3 linked regions of the Ovis aries genome follow. The protein of the gene in region 2 interacts with the protein of the main gene of each other region in a biochemical or structural test. Links are inferred from orthologs where the notes say so. Each region holds a gene or a part of one and is shown on either strand. Other genes may lie near its edges. The genes, in order: ASF1A, CHAF1B and ASF1B.

Evidence for each region.
Region 1: the proteins of CHAF1B (region 2) and ASF1A form a complex in vitro, tested with the Homo sapiens proteins (2 studies listed by BioGRID and IntAct). The link is inferred for Ovis aries from reciprocal best matches to the Homo sapiens genes CHAF1B and ASF1A.
Region 3: the proteins of CHAF1B (region 2) and ASF1B form a complex in vitro, tested with the Homo sapiens proteins (2 studies listed by BioGRID and IntAct). The link is inferred for Ovis aries from reciprocal best matches to the Homo sapiens genes CHAF1B and ASF1B.

The regions. Positions count from the first base shown.
Region 1 is NC_056061.1:19,404,011-19,409,602, reverse strand, and holds the start of ASF1A (histone chaperone ASF1A), read left to right. Parts: upstream 1-2,063; 5' UTR 2,064-2,293; coding exon 2,294-2,402; intron 2,403-3,560; exon of another isoform or gene 3,561-5,592. UniProt on the Homo sapiens protein: Histone chaperone that facilitates histone deposition and histone exchange and removal during nucleosome assembly and disassembly.
Region 2 is NC_056054.1:269,270,761-269,276,430, reverse strand, and holds the start of CHAF1B (chromatin assembly factor 1 subunit B), read right to left. Parts: upstream 3,752-5,670; 5' UTR 3,666-3,751; intron 3,085-3,665; exon of another isoform or gene 2,991-3,084; 5' UTR 2,981-2,990; coding exon 2,855-2,980; intron 1,672-2,854; coding exon 1,539-1,671; intron 847-1,538; coding exon 729-846; intron 1-728. UniProt on the Homo sapiens protein: Acts as a component of the histone chaperone complex chromatin assembly factor 1 (CAF-1), which assembles histone octamers onto DNA during replication and repair.
Region 3 is NC_056058.1:9,899,096-9,904,715, forward strand, and holds the start of ASF1B (histone chaperone ASF1B), read left to right. Parts: upstream 1-2,229; 5' UTR 2,230-2,349; coding exon 2,350-2,458; intron 2,459-5,620. UniProt on the Homo sapiens protein: Histone chaperone that facilitates histone deposition and histone exchange and removal during nucleosome assembly and disassembly. Cooperates with chromatin assembly factor 1 (CAF-1) to promote replication-dependent chromatin assembly.

The sequences.
Region 1 (5,592 bases), on a different chromosome or scaffold from region 2:
TTGATGCTGAGAACAAATCTTACACACTTCACAATGACATCACCTATGAGCAGTGGACAGAGGAGCCTGGCAGGCTACAATCCACAGGGTCGCAAAGAGTCAGACATGACTAAAGCGACTTAGAACACGAGCAGATTAAAAGCGCACTTGATTTTTACCAAGCTTTTAAAGTCATTTTTATAAAGCAAATGGATTTCAATCTCCTCATAACGATGCCTGCAATAATGAGGAAACTGCATATATCCCAGTCTCAAGAGAACCTTGTTTTATGCTTCAAATGGCTATCGCCTATGTTCTGTGTGTCTTACAACTTACACTTCATCTGAGGCAGCCTTAGGCCCAGCACTAATAACAATGAACAGAGAATACAGTTTATCAGCCAACGTAATTTGCACCTGTCCCCACAGTATGACTGTTAAACTCTAATTTGTACAAATACCTGGGCTTGAGGAAACCCCTTCCAGTAGATCGTGGTATTTGCTAATCCATCCATGATACAATGGGATCCTCACCCTGAGTAGTTTCCCTAAATGTGGGAGGCCTGGGATTAACTGTCCCATTGCTGTTGTTCTATGGCTAAGTTGTGTGACTCTTTGTGACTTCATGGACTGCAGCATGCCAGGCCTCCCTAGCTGTCTCTTATTAACTTTCAAAAGACCATCAGATGCAGAAGTCTCATTAAAAGCAACCTGCAATGAACAGTGTCCAAAGAATGTTAACTGAAAAATTCTCAGCACCATACTAAGAGAAAACTTTCAGCATAGATGACACTTAAATAACTTTCTCTGAATTTAATTAACCAAGTGGTTTCATTCAAAATACCTGAAAAATGATGGTTTATGCAGCAGGGAAAAAAATCCCTTTATATTGCTCTTATTTAGAAAATAGAAACAGCTCAACAACCTTACACAAAATGTATTACAAGCTCTCCCTTTCCTACAAAGGTAGTCAAGAACAAACTGACGCTGAATGTCGAATAATCAAGTAAAGATTCCTCTGAACTTGCTCGTGGTGCCATACATTTTTACTTACTAACGGTTTAGGTCATGACTTTTTGGAAAATTGCACGTCTTGGTATGCTTTCGTGGTCTCTACTCGCCTTTTGCCTTTTCTGCTTGTATCTGTTGTCTTTACGGTCTTCTGATACTTGCATTTTCTCCTTTTTATGTTCCTGCTGTGTCCTCCGAACAGGAGAAACCGGGTATAAGTGATCCAACCTCAAGTCATCTTTTTATTCTAGACTTTCCAGACTGGAACGGGAGAAAGACGACCCTGGTGCAGCCCAAATACTACCTATTCCACAAAGTGTGGGTGGAAAAGCGTTTCCTCGCCCTTCATTTTGTATCTACTTAACTAACGGCGCTGTCGTGCCCAAACGTAGAGATTGGCCAAGAACTAGATTTCCAAAATGGCTTTGCTCCTTTTGAGCTGACATCAGTCTATAAAATGCAATTTACTTCCCCTGCAACCAACCTTCCCTCTAACCCAAATATTACCCAGTACACAGACAACTGAACCTAACCTAGTGTAGACAACGGATTCGCATCTCCTAAATTCAGTAGAGAGCCGACACAGCCGTCGGACTAATGTGAAGAGTCAGAAGGGGGAGTGGGGGAGACACAGAACAAACCCGTTACACAAACCCCAGAGGCGGGTGTCGCCAGGATCGCGCCCTCCCGTCGCCGTGCCCACGGCGAGCACGCCTTCCCGCCGTGGCCACGCCTCCTGCCGCCTCGCCGTGGCCACGCCTCCCTCGACCCCGCCCCGCTGCGGCCACGCCCGACGTGAGGCGCGGGAGCCGCCGGGCCGGGGGCGGGGCCTGCGCCGCCCCTCCCCCCGCCGCCGCCGCCGCCGCTGCCGCCGGCGGCCTCCGCGCGGGCCTCCCAGCCCGTATTCCACTCACTTTGTTCTCCGCCTTTGTCCTAATCCACACCAGCAGGTGGAGCCGCAGTTAAAGTTTCCGAGTCCATTCCGGGAGCGGGAGCCCATCTTGCTCGCCGCGGAGGCCCTCGCTGGAGGAGGAGGGTCAGAGCTCGGGTGCAGCCAATCGCGGGCAACGCTGCTAGTTATCAGAGCAGAATGGGCTGTAGTTTAGTGAAATAGGAAAGCTGCAAAACACTGTGGAGTGTTCCCGTGTAAATAAAAAGAGGAAAAAAAAGTTTCTCAAGTCGCCGCTGCACGACGTCGGGCCGGCGCCGGGGCGGGGGTCTGCGCTCTCCCGAGCGGCCGCGCGCTGGACTTTATTGTGCCGCAACGAGCCCCCCGTCCCCATTGTTTGTGTTTTTTTCAAAATATGGCAAAGGTTCAGGTGAACAATGTAGTGGTGCTGGATAACCCTTCTCCCTTCTACAACCCATTCCAGTTCGAGATCACCTTCGAGTGCATCGAGGACCTGTCTGAAGGTGAGTCGGGCGCCCGCCCGCCGCCGGGCTGTCAGTTGCGGGCTGCAGACGTTGAAAGTTTCCCGGGCCCGGCCTCACGCGGGCGGCCGGGGCTCGGCGCCGAGCGGGCTGCGGGCTCGGCTTTGCGGAGGGAAACTTGAAGTTGATGGACGACGGCCGGCCAGGCGCGCGCGGCGTTCGGCCGCCGCCGGGGCGCCTGCCGCGGCTCAACTTGCGAGGAACTTGTTCGAGCGGAGGTAGCCATGTTGTCAGCTTTGTCTGGCGGGCGGGCGCTTCGCGAGACCCGCACTCGCGCCCGCGGCGCCGGCCGGGGGTCGCGCCGGGCTGGCCCCGGGCACCCAACGGCCTCCGCGGCCCCGGCGAGGAGGTGGGAAGGCAGAGGCATGTGTGTGGTCGGCGCCGGCGAGTTCGCAGCGGAGCCATCTTACCGAGAGTAGAGAATTGGGCCACCGACCCCGGCGTCACGACGCCTCCTCTCCGCGGGTGACGAGCGCGGCGCCCCGCCTGCCCACCTTCCTGCCCCCGAGCAAGAGGCACGTCCATTTTTAGCGCTCACGCTGGAGTTACCGGACTCTCCGGGGTGGCCATGCCCGGCCGCTTCGGGGAGGGGAGCGAGGCTGTCCTCGCGCTGATTTCTGGTTCCGTGGACCAACCAGTGGGGGAGGCGGGCGCAGGCTCGGCCCCTCGGCGCCACGGGCCGGCGCTCTCCGGGGGCCGCGGGTGCTCCCGGGCCGGCGCTCCCCAGCCGGCACCCAGGATGCTCGGGGCGCCCGGGGATGCTGGCGCGCAGGCTCGCCCCGAGCAACGTGGGCTCCTCATCCTTGGTGACTGAAATCTAATCTTCTCTCTCTCAGGAAGAAACATATTGCTAAGCTAGCAAGTTACATTTAACCTGAGAGCAGAAATAAGTAAAATATTTAAATAATTTCCAGGACTTGATCACTGGCTTCTAAGTAGTCTGAAAGACTTCCTTCAAGAACGTGTTGAAATCTAATTACAGCAAGTCCACATCCAAATACCCTGAACATAAAACACAAAAGTGGGCTAGGAAATAAAGTCCTGATGGCAATGCAAAATTTAATTTTTTTTTTCTAAGTACGTTTTAAGGTCCTCAGAAAGACATATAGCATGTGCGGTAAGAAATTCAGAAAGCTAAAATTTGCCAAGGTCTTTCCGATTTTATTAAAACCATCCAGTGCTCCATTTTCAAAATTTCAAGGGGAAAAAAAAGTTTAACTTCATCGATGGTAATTTTACAGCTAAATAGGGGACAGGCTTTTTTTGAACTTACAATTATGTTTAGCAAAATTCATCTTAAATTATATGCTAATCAAGGCATGTAAAGCATTTTCACTTTAAAAATTATCCTTTAATCCCTGTATAATGTATTTTAGGTAGTGTGTAAACTATTTCAATTACAAAAACCAACATATGCTCATTGTAATAAACTTTTTAAAAGTTGTTCATACATATATAAAGTAACACTCCTCTGTACTCAATACCTTCCGCCAACATGTCACTCAAAAGTAACCATAATTACCACTTTAGTATGTGCTGTTCCATACACTGTAGTTTTACTACAAATATAAAGCACATATGCACATACGAAAGTAGGCACATTTTGAAAGACAATTCATTTATTAAACTAATTCTTAAATGGGCTGTTGCTAATAAAAATTAAAGGGGGTTTTCCTTATTACCGAACTTTGAAACTATTTGGTTACTAAAGTACTGCCATAAGCATTTCAGCCACTAGGCCCATTTTCATGCCCACTAGACATTTTTTTGGTTTTACTATCAACTGCATATAAAAATGGACAAATGCAAGAGAAATACAATAAATGAGTCCCTTCCAATTTATACTACAGTGTTTTAGGCATTAGAACTTCTTGAAATTACTGGTATTTCTCAAGTGATATCTTCCATTTTAGGAGCGAGTTCTCAACAAGGAAGTTAGATGATTCAGGATGTTGTTACAGGGCTTTGACAATGGATGGCTGAAACCTGCCATTGATGTGTTCTGTTTGTAATGGGATCTTTTCAGAACCAAGCTGAATCCTATCAATTTTTACAGTACTGATGTCAGGAATACACCTTACTTTGACTTGTCTACCTCACTTCCCAGGTACTTATACTGGGCATTTATTTAGTACTTTTTAGGAGTTTAAGCTGAGTCATACTGAAGCTGCAAAGGAATCTTTCAAAAAGGTGCCATGCTTATGTACTCCACCTAGAGGCTGTGTGGATTAAGGAAATAGAGTTTACTTAGTAAAGACTTCTTATAGTCCCATCTTTTATGCTGCTGCTACTAAGTCACTTCAGTCGTGTCCAACTCTGTGTGACCCCATAGACGGCAGCCCACCAGGCTCCCCCGTCCCTGGGATTCTCCAGGCAAGAACACTGGAGTGGGTTGCCATTTCCTTCTCCAGTGCATGAAAGTGAAAAGTGAAAGTGAAGTCACTCAGTCATGTCTAACTCTTAGTGACCCCGTGGACTGCAGCCAACCAGGCTCTTCCATCCATGGGATTTTCCAGGCAGGAGTACTGGAGTGGGGTGCCATTGCTACAGTTCTTTAAAATATTTGTTCTTGGAAGTGAAATATAGAATAGTCCAATGAGAAATTTTCACTGTATAATTTTGTTTCAAGTTCCAGAGCTTGGCCATCATTTTTCATACTTTAAATTGTCAATAGCCCTCACATATTTTGACTTTCCTTTAAAAGCTGCCCTGTAGCTTTGTTTCAGAAAAAGTCTGAGTACTTAAGAGAATTTAGTTGAAATCTACTGTAAGACCTATACAGGGGTAGGACAGCAATCCACAGATGTAAGGAGAGGCTCTCCTGTTAAGTCCAGGAGATAGGAGACCTTGGGTGTGTTTGGTCTGATGGTCACCAAGCCTGTACACATTTTCATTGACTTTACTGCTGACTTTGTTATACCTTCTGTGGACTGCTGATTTCTCTGCTTCTTTACTGAATGGAGCCTTTTTAAAAAATGTTGATCAATACTTAGAGCTGTCAGTTGAATACATACTTAAAACATAACTGAATGAAGCTTCATACTTTAAAACCTCAGGTTTGTACTAATTCACAAATACTACATACTTTCCCCTAGATCACAGGTCTTCCCAAATAGTGTAATTAGCTTGAAATTTACTTGGTGACTTCCCTCACTCCCACCTCAAATGGAGA
Region 2 (5,670 bases):
ATCCATTTTAATCCATATTTTTATCTTTTTAAGCCAGGGGTCCCCAATCCCTGGACTGCTACCAGCCTGTGGCCTGTTAGGAACTGGGCTAGCTGGCAGGAGGCTAGGAGGAGGCAGGAGGAGCTTCCTGTGTATTTAGAGCCACTCCCTGGCGATCACATACTGCCTGAGCTCCGCCTCCTCTCAGGTCAGCAGTGGCTCTGGATTCTCACAGGGCCGTGAGTCCTACGGTGAGCCCTGCGGTGAACGGTGCTTGAGAGGGACCCAGGTGGCAGGCTCCTTGTGAGAATTTAATGCCTGATGATCTGAGGTGGAGCTCAGGCCATGAGGTGAGCTCTGGGGAGTGGCTCAGGGAGGAGGACCTCAGGAGACCATGATGAATCAACTGCCTGCATACTCTATCACTGAGCAGCAAGTGACAACTGTATAATTATTTCATTATATATTATAATATAATAATAATAACAACAGAAATAAGGTGCACAAAAAATGTAATGCACTTGAATCAGCCAGAAATCAACCCTCACCCCCAGTCTGTGGAAAAACTGTCTTCCACGAAACCTGTTCCTGGTGCCAAAAATATTGGGGGGCCGCTGTTTTAAACTATGCCTGCATTACTGTCTTGCACAAGTAAAAGTTTTAAGTGAGATATGAAAGTCTAAATGCCTATCAGCTGAATGCATTCAGGTCCTAAAGCTAACCCCTCTGCAGGTCCCTCCCAAGGTTACCTCAGGGTTTTTACGACAGTCCAATTCTCCTTGTTCAGCTGAGCCTCATCCTCATCCTGAAAAGCAACCTGTTCCGGCTCCTTGTTATCATTCACCTTCCAGAGCAGAATGACAGCATCTGCAGAGTGAGTCGATTAAACGCAAATCACGCTTTCCTGTGTGGCTTCTTCACTTCTGGATTTTTAGGACATTAAACAATATCTACAGACACTATGGCCATGAGGATTTACCTCTAAGAATTCGGGCAGGAACAGCAAGTTTCCCTTCTGAACAAAAGCTTTCTAATTTACTGTGTTCTTATATTGTGTTTTTCTGTATCAGATATTTTAAGCTCTATAATGGAAATCTGGGGGGTTTTTTTGGGGGGGTGCATACTGGGTGGCTTATGGGATCTTATTTCCTGACCAGCAATGGAACCAGGGCCCCCAGCAGTGGAAGCACAGGGTCCTAACCACTGGACCACCAGGGAATTCCCTCTATAATAGGAATTTTCAAATGTATACAAAAGTACAGAAACCGTTCACTGCAGCACTGTTTACAATAGCGAGGACATGGAAGCAACCTAAATGTCCATCAACAGAATGGATAAAGAAGATGTGGTACATAAATGCAACGGAATATTACTTAGCTATAAAAAAGAATGAAATACTCCCCATAACATATCCCCATAACTCCCCTAAACTATCTAAATGACAGATTCAGAGGGTCAAGCGACCTCTGAAATGAGAAAGTATATCTAGCTCAAATCTCAGTATTGGCTATGAGACATGTGTGTATCTGGTTTCTACAGATTCAAAGTATAATACTCACCGTCCCCTCCTGATGCTAAAATTTCCCCATTTGGAGAAAAACGTACGACATTGACCGCTTTGGTATGACGAGCAAGATTGGACAAAAATTCAACGATGGCCTTTCCATCTGGTCCTTTTTCTACCTTCCAGATCTGTTGATACAAAAACACTCATTCAGAGAAACATGTAGTGAGCAGGCTTCATACTGCACCTACTAAAACAACCCTGCACTGATTTTCAGAAAGAAAACTTAGTTTCTCTTTTGAAACGTAAGAGGAAGTAATTCCTATCTGAAATATAAACCTCCAGTGCCACTGCCTCCCACCTCTTTCTTGTGCAAACTCTTCCCCTAGAGGAAACTGGCTCAGGGTTCTGAAATAATAACATCACCACATCCAGTGACATCCGTCTATGTAACAGGACCCTAGGAAGAAAGTTGCTCGCTATTGCCTCATTGTTGACTCAAGATCCTGAAAATTTATCCATCTGGGCTAAATACACATATACATACACTTTGTCACTCAGTTGTGTCCGACTCTTTGAGACCCCCAGGCTCCTCTGTCCATGGGATTCTCCAGGCCAGAATACTGGAGTGGATTTGCCATTTCCTCTTCCAGGGGATCTTCCCCACTCAGGGATCCAACTGGCACCTCCTGCCTCTGGCAAGCAGATTCTTTACCGCTAGTGCACCTGGGAAGCCCCTGGGCTAGGTAACTTAGTACAATAATTTGTGATGATTGCCTGCAGTGTGCGTGCTCAGTCCTGTCCGACTCTTTGCAACCCCAGGCTCCTGTGTCCATGGGATTTCCCAGGGGAAAAAAATACTGCAGTGGGCTGCCATTTCCTCCTCCAGGGGGATCTTCCCGACTCAGGGATTGAACCTGCGTCTCAGGCATTGGCAGATTCTTTACCACTGAGCCAGCCAGCTGGGTAGCCCCGCGTTTAACAGTCATTATAAAAACACAAGAGTGCCCTGCTCGGGAAAACCATCTAAGGCTTGGAATCTGCGATATCTGCTCGCGTTTACCGATCCTGCACTTCATTACTGACTCAAGTCGGAGATTCTGTCAGCAACCAAGGACATCTGTTTTAGTCAATGGTGGGTTTTACTTCCAATTCTGGGGCTTTTGTCTGTGTAATCTGACGTGTTCAATATGTTGCTCCATTAAAAGCTCTGCCTATTATAGTTTTATTTCCATTATCATAAAATTGGTTTAAATGTTAATGAAACAGTATACCTAAAAAAAAAACAAAAAACAAAAACACAAGAGTGGAGGGAGAATGCCACTTCAACGTTGCTTCCAGGGCCCTTCCCACTCCCCATGCCCCGCTTACCCTGACAGCCGTGTCCACCCCCGCGGAGGCCAGCCGGTGGATCCTCCCGGCGGCTCCATACTGGAAGTCCAGGCTGTACACCGGCTCCTTGTTGTGCCAGGCGATCTCGCAAGTGATGACTTTCATCCTCCGGAGTCTTCAAGGAGCGAAACACAGTTCCTCAGGGGGTGGTGCGTGGGGGTGGGGGTTGGGGTGCCCCCGTTGGTTCTCCAAAGACGGAGGAGAGAGAGCTGCAAATGGTTGGTGATGAGATCAATCTTCGAGCCAGGGACCAGGCACTGAACGCTCAAGCCTGAGCCCAGGAGCCCTGCCGACCCTGGGAGAGGATGTCAGTGCGGCCCTCTGACGCAGCCCTCGCAGCTCCACCTTAAGTGGTTCGCGGAGTCCGCGGCTGTTTTCAGTTTATTCTCCGGGTATGTCCAGAAAAGCAACGAGGGACGGACACCCAGGGAGGGGAAAGCAAGGCCCGGGCCGGGCCAGGCCAAGCTGAGAGGGGGCGAGACCGGGTATCTGGGGGTGGGCGCCCCGGGGAGACGGCTACCGGGGGTGAGGGAGGGCAGGGGCCGCGGCGGAAGGGCTGCTCGGCAAGCCGACCGAGGCCGGGGAGGAAGGGGGCAGCCGGGAAAGCCGGAACCGGACCTGAGACCTGGCTGAGAGGAGGCCGCCGGGGGCGCTTCTCCTAAGCTCCCCCGGGTCCTCGCGGCTGGCCCTCGACGAGGGCCGCTCGCCACCTCACCCGGCTCCTCACCCTTCACCCAGGCCCGGCCGGGAAAGCGCGGGGACGCGAGTGGCCGCGCGGGAAAAGCAGTACCTGCAGGGATGCGTTCAGGCCGCTGGGCCGCCAGCTCCCGCCGCCGCGCGCGCGCCGCTTCCCGCGCGCCGCAGGCCCCGCCTCCTGATGGGCGGGGCCTCGGGACTCCCCGCCTCCGAGTGGGCGGGGATCTAGAGACTTCCCCCCCTCCTCGTAGGCGGGGATCCACAGAGGCCCCGCCCCTCCGCGGAGGCGTGACCAGCGCCCTTGGACTCGGCTGGCTCCCGCCGGTTTATTATTTCCCTGCGGAACGACGCATCGGTGGAACGATGAGGGAGTCCAGTCACTTCTTCCCTTGTTAATTTAGCAAACATTTACTGAGCATCTGCTATATGCTGGACCCTATGCTGGACCTGGATACACAGTGGAGAGCGAAGCTGACGCAGACTTCAGTTCAGTTCAGTAGCTCAGTCGTGTCCGACTTTTTGCGACCCTATGGACGGCCGCACCGCCAGGCCACCCTGTCCATCACCAACTCCCGGAGCTTACTCAAATTTATGTCCATTGAGTCGGTGATGCTATCCAACCATCTCATCCTCTGTCGTCCCCTCTCCTCCCGCCTTCAATCTTTCCCAGCATCAGGGTCTTTTTCAATGAGTCAGTTCTTCGCATCAGGTAGCCAAAGTATTGGAGTTTCAGCTTCAGCATCAGTCCTTCCAATGAATATTCAGGACTGATTTCCTTTAGGATGGACTGGTTGGATCTCCTTGCAGTCCAAGGGACTCTCAAGAGTCTTCTCCAACACCACAGTTCAAAAGCAGACTTACTCTCAGGAGAATTTGCAGTCTGCTAAAAGAAAACGGAGGGCCCTTCTGTAGGACAGGTGGGGACACTGTAACTCTGAGACTCACCCAAGACTACCACGACTTTCACTAGTGCAGTGACTATCTGACAGCTGTAACCTGTTTTGGTCACTAGTGATAGATAGTGAAGTCGCTCAGTCGTGTCTGACTCTTTTCGACCCCATAGACTGTAACCTACCAGGCTTCTCCATCCATGGGATTCTCCAGGCAAGAATACTGGAGTGGGTTACCATTTCCTTCTCCAGGGGATCTTCCCGACCCAGGGATCGAACCCGGGTCTCCCGCATTGGAGGCAGACACTTTAACCTCTGAGCCACCAGCGAAGCCCTTTTGGTCACTAGTGTTTCAAAATAAATAAACCACAGAAACGGTCTTCAGGCCTCCTGTCATTTTTCCAAATAATAATTTAAAAAGTGAAAAGGAGTATGTCAAGGTTGTATATTGCCACCCTGCTTATTTAACTTATATGCAGAGTACATCATGTGAAATGCTGGGCTGGAGGAATCACAAGCTGAAATCAAGATTGCTGGGAGAAATATCAGCAACCTCAGATGTGCAGATGATACCACTCAAATGGCAGAAAGAGAAGAGGAACTAACGAGTCTCTTGATGAACATGAAAGAGGAGAGTGGAAAAGCTGGCTTAAAATTCAACGTTCAAAAAACAAAGATTATGGCATCTGGTCCCATCACTTCATGGCAAAATAGATGGGGAAAAAGTGGAATCGATGACAGATTTTATTTTCTTGGTCTCCAAGATCACTGTGGACAGTGACTACAGGCATGATTAAAAGACGCTTGCTCCTTGGAAGAAAATCTGTGACCAACCTAGACAGCATATTTAAAGGAAGAGACATCACTTTGCCAGCAAATGTCCATATAGTCAAAGATATGGTTTTTCCAGTAGTTGTGTATGGATGTGAGAGTTGGACCATAAAGAAGGCTGAGCACCGAAGAATTGATGTTTTTGAATTGTGGTTGGAGAAGACTCTTGAGAGTCCCTTGGACTGCAAGATCAAATCAGTCCATCCTAAAGGAAATGGGTCCTGAATAGTCATTGGAAAGACTGATGCTGAAATTGAAGTTTCAATACTTTGACCACCTGATGCACAGAGCCAACTTATTGGAAAAGACCCTGATGCTGGAAAAGATTGATGGCAAAAGAAGAGGGTGACAGAGGATGAAATGGTTGGACAGCATCAA
Region 3 (5,620 bases), on a different chromosome or scaffold from region 2:
AGTATGATAAGCCTTTGAAGGTTTTAAGCAGAGTAATGACATGATCTAGTTTACAACTGAAGATTATTCAGCCAGCTGTAGGGAGAAGGCATTATAGACAGAGACATAATACTTGTGACTGATGAACTTTTCAGGGGCTATGAAAAGGTTGGGGCTGAGAATGAAAGAAAAAAAGTTCCACAATGCAGAAAGAAAACTACAAAGTTGTAATGAGTAAAATGTTTAATATCTAGAAAACAAAATATAACAACTTCATCAAAGTTCATATGCATAAGCAATTGAATTACATTTGGAAATAATTTGAAAATTTGACCTTCTCAAGTCACAAAAATTCCTAAGGATGCCCAATGACTGCCAAGAACCCAGAGCCAATCATAATGGGAATTTTCTTGCAGCCAAATCGTTTCAATGAGGGGAAGAATCCTTTCAATCCTACTTGAGATGGAGATACAAAAAAAAAAAAAAAAAAAGAGAGAGAATATTCTGAGCATCACGAGGCCACAGAGGTGGATGGATAAGAAATCCTAGTGGCTTGAAATGTACCGTTCAGGCTTATGTTCCACGAATTTGAATGTTGTCCAGGGGGCTCTTGGATTCTCCGAAGAAATTTGAGCAGAGACTTGAATAACAAGGAGGCACCAGAAAAGAGGTGGGGGGTGTCATGTCAGATTTTATGAAACAAAAAGGTCAGTTTGGCTGAAGTTGGTTTTGGCTATCCAATATCGGAAGCCACAGGGGATGACAAGCACCTCAGTGTGGCTAGTGCCACTGTGAAACAGAACATTCCACGTCGCTTAACTTTCATTAATTAATATTTCAATTTATCACCGACATGAGATTGAGTTCATGGGAAATTTTAACGTATGTTGGGAAACACTTGGGCATGTGAATCTCCATTTCAACTGTAAATTTTATGAAACCTCAACTATTTCCGGTGAAAACCTAGCGTCCGGATCACAGCTGTGGTGTAACGTGTAAAATACACAGGTTTTCAAACCGTTAGTACTAGGTAACAAAATAAAGATACCTCAGGTTCGTGTTTGTTTTTTTTTAATACCGATCACATGTTGAAATGATATTCTGGCTATACTACATTAAGTTTAATATATTTATATATATATATGTAACGTGGCTACTATAGAAAAGTTTAAGATTAGGTTTGTTGACGCCCGTGGAAGCGGACTAAAGGAATGCGGCGGCCCCTCGAGTCTTCCAGACAGGGGGCGACGGTGGTCCCGCCTACGCCTGGGAGTGGAAAGAAGTTTCTAGATGTATTATGTAGTCATAAGTCAGGCCAGTAAAATTTCATCACCCCGTTCAATGAGCAGGGAAATGAGGCCTCGGGTGGTGCGTGGCAGAGGCCGGATTCGAAATCCCATTCAGCGCCGTCCACCTGAAACCTCCCCAGGGGCTCTCAAGTAAGAACCTGATTCGAACCAGGCCCGACTACCGGGTCCCGGGCCCCAGAGCGCCGCGTTAGCGCGGCACCGTCTGCGCTCAAGGGTGAGTTAAACGTTCACAACGTTCACAACGGACGCCCAGCCTGCCGGGTCTGCGGGGCCAGGAGCCCCTTAGAGAAACTTCCGGCAACGCTCACCTGCTGACAGATGCCGATGCCGCAAACGCTGCTCCTTTCTCTTCACACTCTGCTCAACCGCGTCAGCGGCCGACTTCCGCTCCACTTCCACGAATCCCCGGCCGCGTCTTCTCTTCTCCCGCCCCCGCAGCCAACTCAGCCAATCACCTCTCAGGAAACCTGCTTTATCTCCGCCCCATTTCTGCCTGCCAATCACTGCAAGTCCAGCACGTCCCTTCCTTCCCGCTTAAGCGAGCGCTGTGCGCCACCACTCGGCGGTTGACTGCGCTGCCCCCAGCTGGAAGAGTCTCCCGGAAAGGCGGGGCTAATCGCGGACCACGCTGGTGCGGGGACCCTAGGGATTGGCCAAGAAGAGCCAGGCGCTCTGACCCCGCCCACCCCTCCCTGGACGTCCGAGTCGGAGACTCTGGGGATTGGTTCCCCGCGGACACCAAAGAAGCCTAGAGACGGTCCCGCCTCCCTCGCTCATCCCTGAGATGGAGCTCCACGGATTGGTCTCGGGAGTCTCGGCGCGCGCCGACCGGCGCTCCAGGATTGGCTGAGGAAGCACTCGCGCAGTCGTGGAGCGTTGACGGTGATTGGCCGTAGGGTGAGAGCCGGCTATTTGAAGGAGGCGCGCGGACTAGATACGCACTTCAGATCGCGGTCAGAGGAGGCGGGAGCGGGTTTGGGCAGAGCTTCGCCGCTGACCCGACAGGACCCAGGCGCGGGCTCGGCCCCAGCTCTGGCCTCAGCCGTGACCCGACGAGGCGATGGCTAAAGTGTCAGTATTGAACGTGGCGGTGCTGGAGAATCCGAGCCCTTTCCACAGCCCTTTCCGGTTCGAGATCAGCTTTGAGTGCAATGAGGCCCTGGCAGACGGTGAGATTGGGCCCTTGTGGAGACCCCACTCCCCTGAGCTAACCCCGACCTCCCTTTGCAGACAACCCCGAGGCCAACCCTGCCAAACACACTTCCTCTCCCCCTCCCCCTCCCCCAACCGCGATCTCCCTTGAACCAAAGCCCGCCCACCAGCCCCAACCCCGCCCCTTGGAGACTACCCACCGCACCCCACCCCCATGGTTACTCCTCTTTTCCCCTCATGGAGACCACTTCATCCTCCTCTTTCTCCTGGGCGTTCCTCCTGAGCATCTGTTTTCTGTGTAGAGACCTCAGCCTCAGTTCTTTAACCTGCAGAGACCCTCAGCCTTCCCATCTTCCTTGTAGCAAGAAACCCCCCATCTTCTGTTTCTGTATGGACAGACTACCATTCCAGCCACCCAATCCTCCCCCACCAATCCCCTCTCCCCTGTGGTGAGACACTTCCACCTCACTCTTTTCCTGTGGAGATGTAAGCTCTAGCCCCCTCCCGTGTCCCATATGAAAACCGCAGCCTCCTCCCTCATTTTCCCTGTGAAGATCCTCGCCCTCTGGCAAGACCTCACACATCCTTATCTCCCCATTTGTCTCCCCATAATATCCCCTACCTGCTGATACTTAACCCCACCCTACCCCCCTTCAGCTTGTTTCCTACCTCAAAACACATACCCTAGAAACTGGCTTCCCTCCTTAGTCTGGCCCCAACCCTCTACTTCCTCAAGAGAGGCATGACCTGGCTTCCTGCTCCAGTGTTTGAGGATGATCTGGTCTCCCCAGCTCCTCTTCCTTCCTCTTCCCTGACTGTGGGCTTCAATGAACACACTCAGATCTGAGGAGTGGCATGGCCAGGCACACGTTAGCTGGTTCCTGCTGTTGGCCTGCTGGATTCCTGCTGACCCACTGCAGCAAAGCTTGCAACACTTTTGATGGCCTGACCTCGACTTGCGCGGTGTGGGGTGGGTGTGCCAGGCCGAGCCATGGTGATGTTTGGCTTCAATCTGGGAGGTCACAGCCTTTTGTGCACCTTTTCCAAGGTGCTTTCACAGATGTGCTTATTCATCCCTGTGACAAAAGGCGGACATGGCTCTCATCTCACAGATGAGAAGGCGGGAGACAGAGTAAAAGACCTTTCAAGTAAAGGCCTATAAAAACCAGAAAGGCTAAGGTTGTTCAGCGAGTCTTGGCACCACTTTCAGGAGGAAGTACTTCCATTAGATGTCTTCTCTACTTGGTGGTTAGAAGAGAAGAGGCAGCCTCTAAGGAGGTAGAGATCTGGAAGGCAAGGGTGTGCTAAACTAGTCGTTCTCAGTGGTTGGTGGGTGGTTTGCCTACAAATGGGCTTCTCCAACTAACATGGGGTTGAAGAGTTTTGATGTGTGCTTGGGTGGGGCCATTGGATCACTCCCTGCTTTCTCTCGTTTTTAAATCAAGGAGTCATTCTACTTATGACTAACTATAGAATATGCCCAGTTAAATCCTTTCTGGAACAAGGCGGGGTGTAAATAAATAAATAAAGTGTAGAATGACCCTGTGGAATAAGATTTAATTTTAAAGCCAGGAGATGTAAGGAGCTAATAGTTCAAGGGATTCATAGTTCCCAGATGGCAGGAGATCGGGTTTCAATCAGCCTGTTTGAGCTCCTGGCATTTAAAAATGGTTGCATGGTCATTATCTAGTACTTTCATTCCTGCAAAGCTACTGCCCTGTTACTTTATTAATCTGTTTATAGAATCAGGAGAGTCTAAAGTCAACCTGCTGGTCATTGTTTTTTATTTGTGTTATATTTTGTTTAAGATTTATTTATTTTTGGCTGAGCTAGATCTTCGGTGCTTTGCTCAGGCTTTCTCTAGTTGGGGTGAGCAGTGACTACTCTTCGTTGTGGTGCATTGGACTTCTTGCTGCGGTGGCTTCTCTTGTTGAGGGGCACAGGCTCTAGGTGAGCAGGCTTCAGTAATTGGAGCGCTCGGGAGTAGTTGCTCCACAGCATGTAAGGTCTTCCCGGACCAGGGATCAAACCCATGTCCCCTGCTTTGGCAGGTGGATTCTTAACCACTGGACCACCAGGGAAATCCCTAAAGACAGTTCTTTCTTTCCCCAAGGTCATTATTTTTCTAATGGAAACAAAATGATTTTTCCAAGGTCACACAGCTGGTGTGTAGAATTATTCACAACTAGGTCTTGTTTCTGAGTTCTGAGTCCAGGGTTCTTTATCTTTGCTATAAACTGGAAAAGAATGCACCCACTATTTTAGAAGTGAGACATAAACAGGACAGAAGAGGGCAACAGGGTCTTATTATTAATTATACCTGAACAATAAAGCTTTTGCTCAGAAGAATTCCAGTTGGAAAGCCAACTCTGGCCTGGAAGTCTACACTCTCTGGTTGTACCTGTAGGGCTGTGCTTCACTCTGACCTGTCAACATGCTTTCTGCCTCTTCCCACAGAGCAGAAAGGATTTGTCTCCTGCCTCCCAAACAAATGGAGTAGGCCTGGCTTTAGAAGTCTCTTAGATTCTGGAGAAATTCTCAGTCAGCCTTATTACCTGGTAACTGAAGATCTGAACACCCAGCCCCAACTCTGAGCCATTTCTCAAGGGCTCTGAAATGTTTTAACTCTCTCTCCCTCTCCCCGCTCAGCAGCATGTGGAAATAGATGCGTCCAAGGCCTGGGTCTGTATTCAATACATTGGGTGTGTTTTCCCCCAGTTTAGTTGAGAGATTCATGAGATACTGCCTGAACAAGTCTTAGAGCCAGATTTTCTGACCTACACCGAACACGCTGTGGTCAGGCCAAGGTTCAACTGTATTATGAACAAAGGGAAAGTGATAAACAGAAAAAGGCATACTAGATAAGTTGTTGGGGTTGGGGTTGTTTTGTTGTTTTTTTGATTGTTTGGGACTTGTGTGTGTGTGGCTACGATGGGTCTTCATTGCTGCACTTGGGCTTTCTCTAGTTGGGAGCAGGAGCTACTCTTCGTCATGGTGCTTGGGTGTCTCATTGCAGGAGGCTTCTCTTGTTGTGGAGCCTGGGCCCTAGGATGAGCAGACTTCAGTAGCTGTGGCACACGGGCTCAGTGGTTGCGGCGCATGGAGTTGGTTACCCTGAGACCTGTTGGGATCATCCTGGACCAGGGATGGAGCCTGTGTCTCCTGCATTACAGGTGGAG